Oryzias latipes: one gene and its partner. The protein of the gene in region 1 interacts with the protein of each later gene in a pairwise test. Links are inferred from orthologs where the notes say so. Each region holds a gene or a part of one and is shown on either strand. Other genes may lie near its edges.

Region 1 (4,606 bases):
AGACATTGTTTCTTCGCTGTTATATGGATAGAAATAGAGCTTCATTCAGCTTTATGTGCACATTTTTTCATGCATATCAGACAAGATAAAACATGTGAGTCTCACATTTGCTGCTGGCCGGTTGCTTCAAGGCTTACTCCTGATGTTTCTTCAGGTTATTGAGTCATGCAGCACAAACGATATTTTTATATATGATGTTTTACAGTCAGGAAGGGACTCTTGGTTTGCTTTGCTACCACTTTTCGATTGAGTGGTAACTCAAGTCCAAAACCAGGTCACAACAGAAAAAAGCTTTTACAAAGCTCTTGCAAAGCATCGCAGGCAATCCCACCAAACCACTTTGTATCAGGTATCTTCAGAACTCTGGCATCTTCTCACCAGATGACACTTAGGATTCCCACCTTAATCTAGCAAACCAAATACCATGATGCCACAGATGACGGAGTCGGCCTCACACGCCCACACTGTGGGGATGACACAGAGCTCGTCTCTGATAGAATGCGAATCGACAGCTCTGCACGCGCTCCCCCACATCTCCTGCCTTCACACTTGACATCACAGAGACTCCCTCTTGAAACCACAGCTCACTTTGCACACACTGAGGCTCTTCAGAGCAGCCTTTTTCACCACTCCCCATCTCAGCTAGGGTTGACTGACGTTGGTTAGTGGGGGGGCAAAGAACTGACATCAGATTTTCACTGTTCGTCCAATGAAATACATGCATGTAATAAAGATCTGGATGCAGTTTTAAGCTTTTGTGATCAATTTAAAGACATTAAACACTTGATATGTAAGCATCCCTTCATGGCAGTTAAAAAAAACATGAACAATATTGAAGTTACTTTTGTGGACTAAACATAAGTTTCATACTGAAACTCCTCTTTCAATTTGTTGTTTTTATTACTAAATAGATCAAATAAATATAATGAACATTTTGAATATTGTTTTAAATATATAAAAATGTATTAAAGTCATTACATCGTTCATAAATTATTTATTAATATACATTATTTTGAGGTTCAAAATTTATGAGAGAAGAGTAATTGATTTTGTCATTACCCATCACTTTTCTGTTGATTCTTTGCGCCCTCTGGTGGACAAAGGTAAAATGAGATTTTCGGTGGATTAAAATGATCAGACAGTACTAATCGAGTTGATTTCATCGATACGCCCATATTTTGAATAATTTAAATAATAAAAAGCAAAAATTGTTTTAAAAAAATCTCTATACAAATTGAATAACATAGTAAGATTCAGAAGTCCCGAAGTGTTTAGACCGGTTTGGATTGATTTGTGGTACGAATATCAACTAGTCTTGCCTGACTTGCTGTTTTCGATTGCTAAAGTGGTACCTTCAATATAAATTGGAAATTCCAAAACGATAAAAGTAAACTACCTAGTAAGCTAGTGTTTCATTTGTTGAAATAACCATTATTGATCAGCCAAAGTAAAACATGTTACATGAAAAGCCACAAAAAAGAGAATAGAAACATACAAAAATATTACAAATCAAATCCCTTAGAATAAAGAAAAAAACAAGGAGTTCAGGAAGGCAACACGGCAAGTCACAGGAGGACATCTGTCATCACAGATATTTTTTAGCTAACCATCACAAACTTCGCGATGGATTCACAGCCCCCACTCAAACCGTGGGAAAGGCGAATTCCTGGGGGTATGAGCGCACCTATAAACTACAGGTAAATGAGATTCAGGAAGTTATTTGTAGGGTTATTAGTTGTTGTTTCGAAGTTTTCCTAGGTAGCCTAATGCTAACGTTGCTAAAGGAGCTACTGCTAAACAATTACAGAACAGAACGAAACACCATATGAAACGCTGGTTAAAGCTATTACTGATTTATAATCAGGATAGTTGTATCTAAGGTACACTAGTTAATTTCAAATATGTTTAAAATTCGTCTAATTGTTTTTAGACTGTGTTTTTAGACTTGTTTTAGTACTTGTTGCTACTAGTTTGCATAGTAGCCAGGCCCCCGTAGTTGCCAGATATTTGTTGCATTGCCTTAATAAACGCAAAAGTTTTGCTATGAATTTTTTGAAAGATATTATCTTTCTGTTTGATTTTTTAATAGTAGCAGTTTTAAATCCATTAAGAACGAAAAAGCAGAAAGTCTTGTTATTTTGCTCAGATTTCTTGGTTGTCCTGCTGGTTTAGCTCCATCACTTTCTTTACACACAGATCGACAGACTTTGGACCAATTGCAGGCTCCTCCATTCCTGCTGGCCCTCCAGTTCTGACCAGAATGGCTCCTCCAGTGCCTGCTCGCCCGCTCCAGCAGTCATACCGCCCATCCTATTCCTCTTTCACCTCCTCTTACAGCCCCTATGGAAGCTCCATCTATGGGGGTTACAGCCCTTACAGCTATGGCGGCGGTTATGGCGGTGGCTTCGGTGGCAGCTATGGTCCGGGAGGGTACAGTCGTTTACCCCACACAGAAGAAATCGCCCCCAGCCGGTTTGTGCAGCAGGCAGAGGAGAGCAGCCGTGGAGCCTTCCAGTCCATTGAAAGCATCGTCCAGGCTTTTGCTTCGGTTAGCATGATGCTGGACGCCACCTTCTCCGCCGTGTACAACAGTTTTCGTGCCGTGCTGGACGTAGCCAATCACCTAACAAGGCTGCGTGCTCACCTCACTAGAGTTTTGTCAGCCTTCGCTCTGGTGCGCACGCTGCGGTATCTCTACCAGCGTTTGCTGCGGCTGCTGGGGAGGAGGTCAGATGTGGAGGACTTGTGGGCTGACAGCACAAGTGATGCTGTGGTGGCGGGTTCCTCCAGGGGATATGAGGCAGGAATGGATGAACAGAGCGTGAAGTCCTGGCCTATTTTCCTCTTTTTTGCTGTGGTTCTGGGTGGACCTTACCTCATCTGGAAGTTGTTGAGCTCCAGCCCCAGCTCTGATGAAAATAGTAAGGCTGGCATTGAATCCTTAATTTTATTGGTTTATTTTTCCGTTTGTTTGAAGAATTTACAACAGAAGATCATAAAAACACCAAACCAATGACCACAGTGTGGAGTTGTCGATTAAAGTATTATTCATTTAATAATACTATTCAATTATCTTGATGTAATCGTGTTTCTTCTACTTGATGTGCTCAATAGAAATGTTGTTGTTTTTTTCAGGTACAAACTGGGCCAGCGGGGAAGACGATCATGTCGTGGCTCGGGCTGAGTATGATTTCTCAGCAGCTTCTGAAGAAGAAATTCCTTTGCGGGCTGGAGACATGCTAAACCTGGCCCCTAAAGGTGAGACCTTCCTCAAATGTGTCGTGATTAATTAAAGTATTCCATAAAACTGCCTTTATTAACAATTGGTATATTTAAATTCTGGTTGCAGAGCAGCAACCGCGGGTGCGAGGCTGGTTGCTGGCCAGTGTGGATGGCCAGACAATTGGACTGGTCCCAGCTAACTATGTGAAAGTCCTTGGCAAGAGGAGAGGCCGCAAGCACGCGGAGATGGAACGGCTCGCTGAGGTCCAGGAGGAGAACCAGCGGGCCTCTCAAACACCAGCAGCTGCGCATGGTTCCACTTCAGATCTCTCCACAGCCTCCATGGCTCCCTCGACAGACCACCTACTAGAATCAGTATACAGAGAAATCCCAGCTGCCTTCGCTCTGGGAACATCCAACTCCAGCATGAGCTCTGACACAGTGTTGAATATCCCTGAAAAGACGGACCTGTGACGACTGTGTGTGCATGTGTTGCATTTACATCGTCTGTCAGTCAGTTCAAGTTTATCATTTCACTAATCAATTCTTCTGTAGGTCTTTGATTTCATTCATCAGCACAGTTTTCCTCTTAAAGTAAAATGGCTCAGAATCGTTTTTGTGTGAGATGATGTGTACTACATCGTCTTTGTGTTCTGTGAAGTCCAATTATGGGATGCATTGATGTATGTTAATGGGAAATGTAAAAGGGTTGTTGATGTCATGATATACATGTGAGGTTTCACCCTCAGGTGAAGCCGGGTGGACATCTGTAGGTTGTTGTTTTTTTTTGGATCAAGTGAAATTTGATTCACTCAGAAATAAGAAAGACTAGCTTTGCACATTTTAAAGTTTGTTAGTCCAATGTAATTTTGTAAATACTTAAAATAATTATTTTGAAAATAAATCTAATGGATTATTTTTTGCAGTATTAATCTGCAACCAAAAAAAAGCACGTCTTATTTTATTATTTGTGTCGAAAAATGTTGCGTGCGTGCGTGTGGAAATGACAGCTCTGTTTGATGTACGACAGAAATTTTGGATTTACGGTTTTCGTTTCCAGGCAACAGGACGCCCTTGGCTGCTGCAGTGCGACATCGGGGGCGACTCCGCAGAAGAAGCGGCCAGCTTTATGTTTCATTTATTTGCATTTATATCTATTCTATTTTTTTAAAACCACAATTTGCTCTTATATCGATATATTTTCCTTTTAAGTGTTTGTTTTTTCGTGTGTCTAAAAACCCCAATACGGCCCGTAAAAGCTGAATATTTATGCCAGCTTTTTTAGACTAATGCTGCATTCGCAGAACATCGGAAATACTACATTTTCAAAAGCCCACTCAAAGCTCAATATGGTCCTATCAATATGAAAATTAAATCCATATCG
Region 2 (3,819 bases), on another chromosome or scaffold:
GCTACTCTCGCGTTCCGCTGCAGCTCCCTGCTCCTTAAACACGCAGGCGGTCTCAGCACATATACATCCTCAATCTACAACACAGTATGGCGAACCGGGGGTTAGCCCCGCCTTAAACCCCTAAGACTCATGTGAAGTGAGGAATCTGGATGTGAAGTTTCACACCATAACTGAGGGAGCTGTGAGCTGAAGTGAGGTCCATGCTGTTTGGCAGATGTGGGTGTGTTCAAATAAATAGGCTAAACTACTATTTACTCCTCCCTCTCTGAGACTACTGCTGTCTCTCAGTATTTGGGCCAAGGTAATCAGTGACATATCATTTGATTTGCCATAACATGAGGCTTTTATACAAATGCGGCTTGTGTATGTAAAAAGTGGTTAATCCTCCTTAAGTTGAGTGGGTGAGGCTTGTAATCAGGTGTGCTCTATAGCCCGGTAATTACGGGTAGTTAAAGTGGAACTTAAAGCCAAAGACGATGTATATTTTAAGCCATATAGATTGGTGAGGGGAAGTATGACCAGCTTAATTTTAAAAGATTTAACTGAAAAGAATCTGAATTATTGGTTTTTCTATTGTTGAATAAAAAAGGAGGTTTTCTAAGTGACGTGTTTGAGAAGTACCCTTAAGGAACATATTCTGTAAAGATGAGGGACTTGCAGTGGTAAAGGTGTTGCGTGACTTTAGGCTTTTACTTTGATATGCACATCTGCCACACTTGGTTTAGGGTGAGAAAAAATGTGTGGAAAGTAGCTGTAGTAGCACCTGCAGTTAAGCTTTAGTTAGTGTTTGCTTCAACCACAGGGTCTTCACTTGGTTGAGGAGCATATTATTCAATTAAACAATTTTTAAATAAACTGATTGTATTTTATGTTGATGAGCCATAGTTGTTATTGTTTTCTTTGTTTAAAACCAGGATACTCATTAAAGAAGACCTACAGCAATGGAAGCATATGGTCCCAGAAATAAAAACCCTTTCTAGCCACAAAAGGAGATGTTCTTATTAGTTTTTTTTTCTCCTCCCCTCTGATTCTCCATCAGGGAGCCCTTTGCAATTTAATCATCACTAAAATCATTAAAAAGATCTGAAGATTAAATTATATTGGCATTTGCAAAATTATGTAATACATTTACATTACAATGAAGAAATTAAAATAATGCATTTTCGCTGTCTGGGGTGTATGAAATCTCCACTTGGGAAATATAACTGGAGAAGTGGACAGACCCTTATTTTCTTTGCCTTTGGTGGCAGTTAATAGGCTTGCAGAGTCTCAGATTTCATTGTATGAACTTTTCTGCTCTTTTGATGGATTTCATTGAAAGTCTCAGCGGTGTTTCTGAATTATGAAATGAAAAACGCATTTTTTTGGGTGGTGAGTTGGTGAAATTGAATTAGTTATACTTAAAATATTGGTTGGCAACTAGGGAAGTATTTAAAGTTGCTTAATTTGAAGTAAGGAGCCGTTTAGATTTTCATCTTTATAATCACACACTGCACGTGGTTTGAATGTGCGTAAGACGTCTGTTTGTGGGTTCCAGGCTTGACTGATGAGGAGATCGAGTTGGCCATCCAGCGCTCTGGTAGCACAGAGGAAGTTCTTCCTCAGAATCCTGTGGGGCTCCCACATCCTCCCTATACAACTCTGCTTGCTCCTGCACCACCCAGTGAGTACACACAGCTCTTTTTTCCCCCTAAACACTTGTTCTGTGAATACTTTTGATGTTCATGTGCATTTTCTTATTTAAAAAAAAGCTATTGAATAGAAATTGTTAACTACATTTGTTGCAGTTGATTTCCACTGGTCTTTGAGAGGTCTTCCCTACCATCTGTGTTAAGTAGGACTGTTAAAGGGATAAACCAAAAGGTTTTTGAATCTTATGATCTATCTCATGCAGCCTTGGTATCGTGATTTGCTAGTTTTTCTGAGTTCAGTCAGAGACTATTCTACAGTACAAGCTAAAAAAGGCAGTTTCTTGGAGTGCCACACTGGTAACATCCCACACCAAAACCTGTATCTTTATTACTTCAGGAAGTTGTGAGTGCTGTCCACTGATTTTCCAATGCAGAATGAAGTCTGCGTAATGTTTAACCCATATGACAATGATTCCAGATGTATTCCACCCTCATTTATTACCACACTGTCCTTGACTCCCTCAGCATCTCATGTTTTGTAATGAAAGTGATGTTGATGGGATGGCCATGTAGTTAGGAAGACTTGCAGCTCTCTGTCCATAGTGGGGGGTTTTATATCAAAACGGCTATAAGGGAGCTGCATAATGAGGTGAGAGCGGGGAGTCTTGTATGGGGGGTCATGCCAGAAAGAGGGGGCTACCTCCCTTTGATGTCCTTCTTATGGGTACGGTGCACAGGGACCCGCATCCATCTCTGTCGCAATAATGGATACTCTGATCTCTATTTCCACACAGTAGAAGGACAGGAAGGCCTCCACTGAACCCAATAAATTTGAGAGGAGATTGGAAAAACGGGGGATGGAGACCAGTTAAAAGTGACCAAATAAAAAAAGGAAGATGGCAATGTGGAACTGGTATAGAAAAGGGGAAAGATAGTGGAAGAATGAAAGGTCTGAGAGGAGGGGTAAAAGAGCAAGTGAAAAGCCCTGGTGATGCAGTAAGACATGTTCAGGGTCAACCACCCATTCCAAGGACTCCCAGGCCCTTCAGGTGCATGGTATTCTGGGATAGGTGACAGTCTATCCCAGCTGCAGTTTTGATGAAAACGCAAATTTATGTGGTTATCATGTGGATGCTGAGAGTGATTCAAAATTTTGACTGGAAAGGTTACAGGTTCAGTGAATGCTGCACCAGCAGTAAAACATACCCTTGAAGAAAGAAAAACCAAAACGGCATTCACCTTGAAATGATGCTGCATAGTCCAATATGAATGGGTCTCTCATTTTATTTGCATGTTAAATCAGAAGTTGTAAAGGGCTCTAGATCAATGTCGTTGACTTACTCCAAGCCCCTGAACACATCAAGTTAAAGTTAAAAGTTAACCTTTTAATCTGGCATCAGCAGAGTTCAAAAATACATATTTCCTGTAGACATTTCTTTGGGGGGTGGACAGGAGCACAGACTCGCGATCCCCCAAAGGGGAGTGGGAAAGAGGAACAACACATGAATCGCACTGTACCAAACAGAGGCATGAAGAGCTAAATAAATGATCAAGAATAGAAGAGAGTAAAAGGAGATGAGAATAGAGGACAGAACCCCAGTGCACCATACTTTCTCAAGCTTCTAACTTCTAGCAGCCTACTAGCAACTAATTGTTATTGTAAATTCAAATAAATTGAAATGGGATTCAAACATGTTAGTAGTAAGTTGCATGCATTATGGCACATATAGCAGATGGTAATAATAATGACAATAATAGAAAATCTACATTTTTAGCATAACAATATTAATACAATATAGTATTAATCTAAGCAGGGGGAATGGGCTGCCCAGGCCCGGTTTATGAAACAATCTTCCCTCTGCTTGGATCTGTGGAAGAAATATGTGTAATGGATGTAATGAACATTATAAATATTACCCCAAACTTTCTTACAGTAGGTGAGGTAGGGGGAGCAATATATTAAATATTCTCGGATTACTAGTCTGGCAATAAGCCTGTCCAAAGAGGAATTTTTTAAGACTAACTTTGAATGTAGAAAACTGTGTCGGCTTCGCTTACATGAGCTGGGAGCTTAGTGGTGGTTAAAGGCTCTACCTCCAACTGTACCTTTTACAAATTCTGGGAACCACTGTGAAAGAAGCATTCTGTTTGGTTGGTAAGGCACTATGAGATCTCTAATGTAGGTTAT

What was found.
Region 2: the proteins of pex13 (region 1) and pex14 interact in a two-hybrid assay, tested with the Homo sapiens proteins (2 studies listed by BioGRID and IntAct, with this or other methods). The link is inferred for Oryzias latipes from reciprocal best matches to the Homo sapiens genes PEX13 and PEX14.

The regions. Positions count from the first base shown.
Region 1 is NC_019873.2:7,361,599-7,366,204, forward strand, and holds pex13 (peroxisome biogenesis factor 13), read left to right. Parts: upstream 1-1,526; 5' UTR 1,527-1,623; coding exon 1,624-1,697; intron 1,698-2,196; coding exon 2,197-2,921; intron 2,922-3,135; coding exon 3,136-3,258; intron 3,259-3,349; coding exon 3,350-3,696; 3' UTR 3,697-4,171; downstream 4,172-4,606. UniProt on the Homo sapiens protein: Component of the PEX13-PEX14 docking complex, a translocon channel that specifically mediates the import of peroxisomal cargo proteins bound to PEX5 receptor.
Region 2 is NC_019865.2:9,548,954-9,552,772, forward strand, and holds part of pex14 (peroxisomal membrane protein PEX14), read left to right. Parts: intron 1-1,537; coding exon 1,538-1,663; intron 1,664-3,819. UniProt on the Homo sapiens protein: Component of the PEX13-PEX14 docking complex, a translocon channel that specifically mediates the import of peroxisomal cargo proteins bound to PEX5 receptor.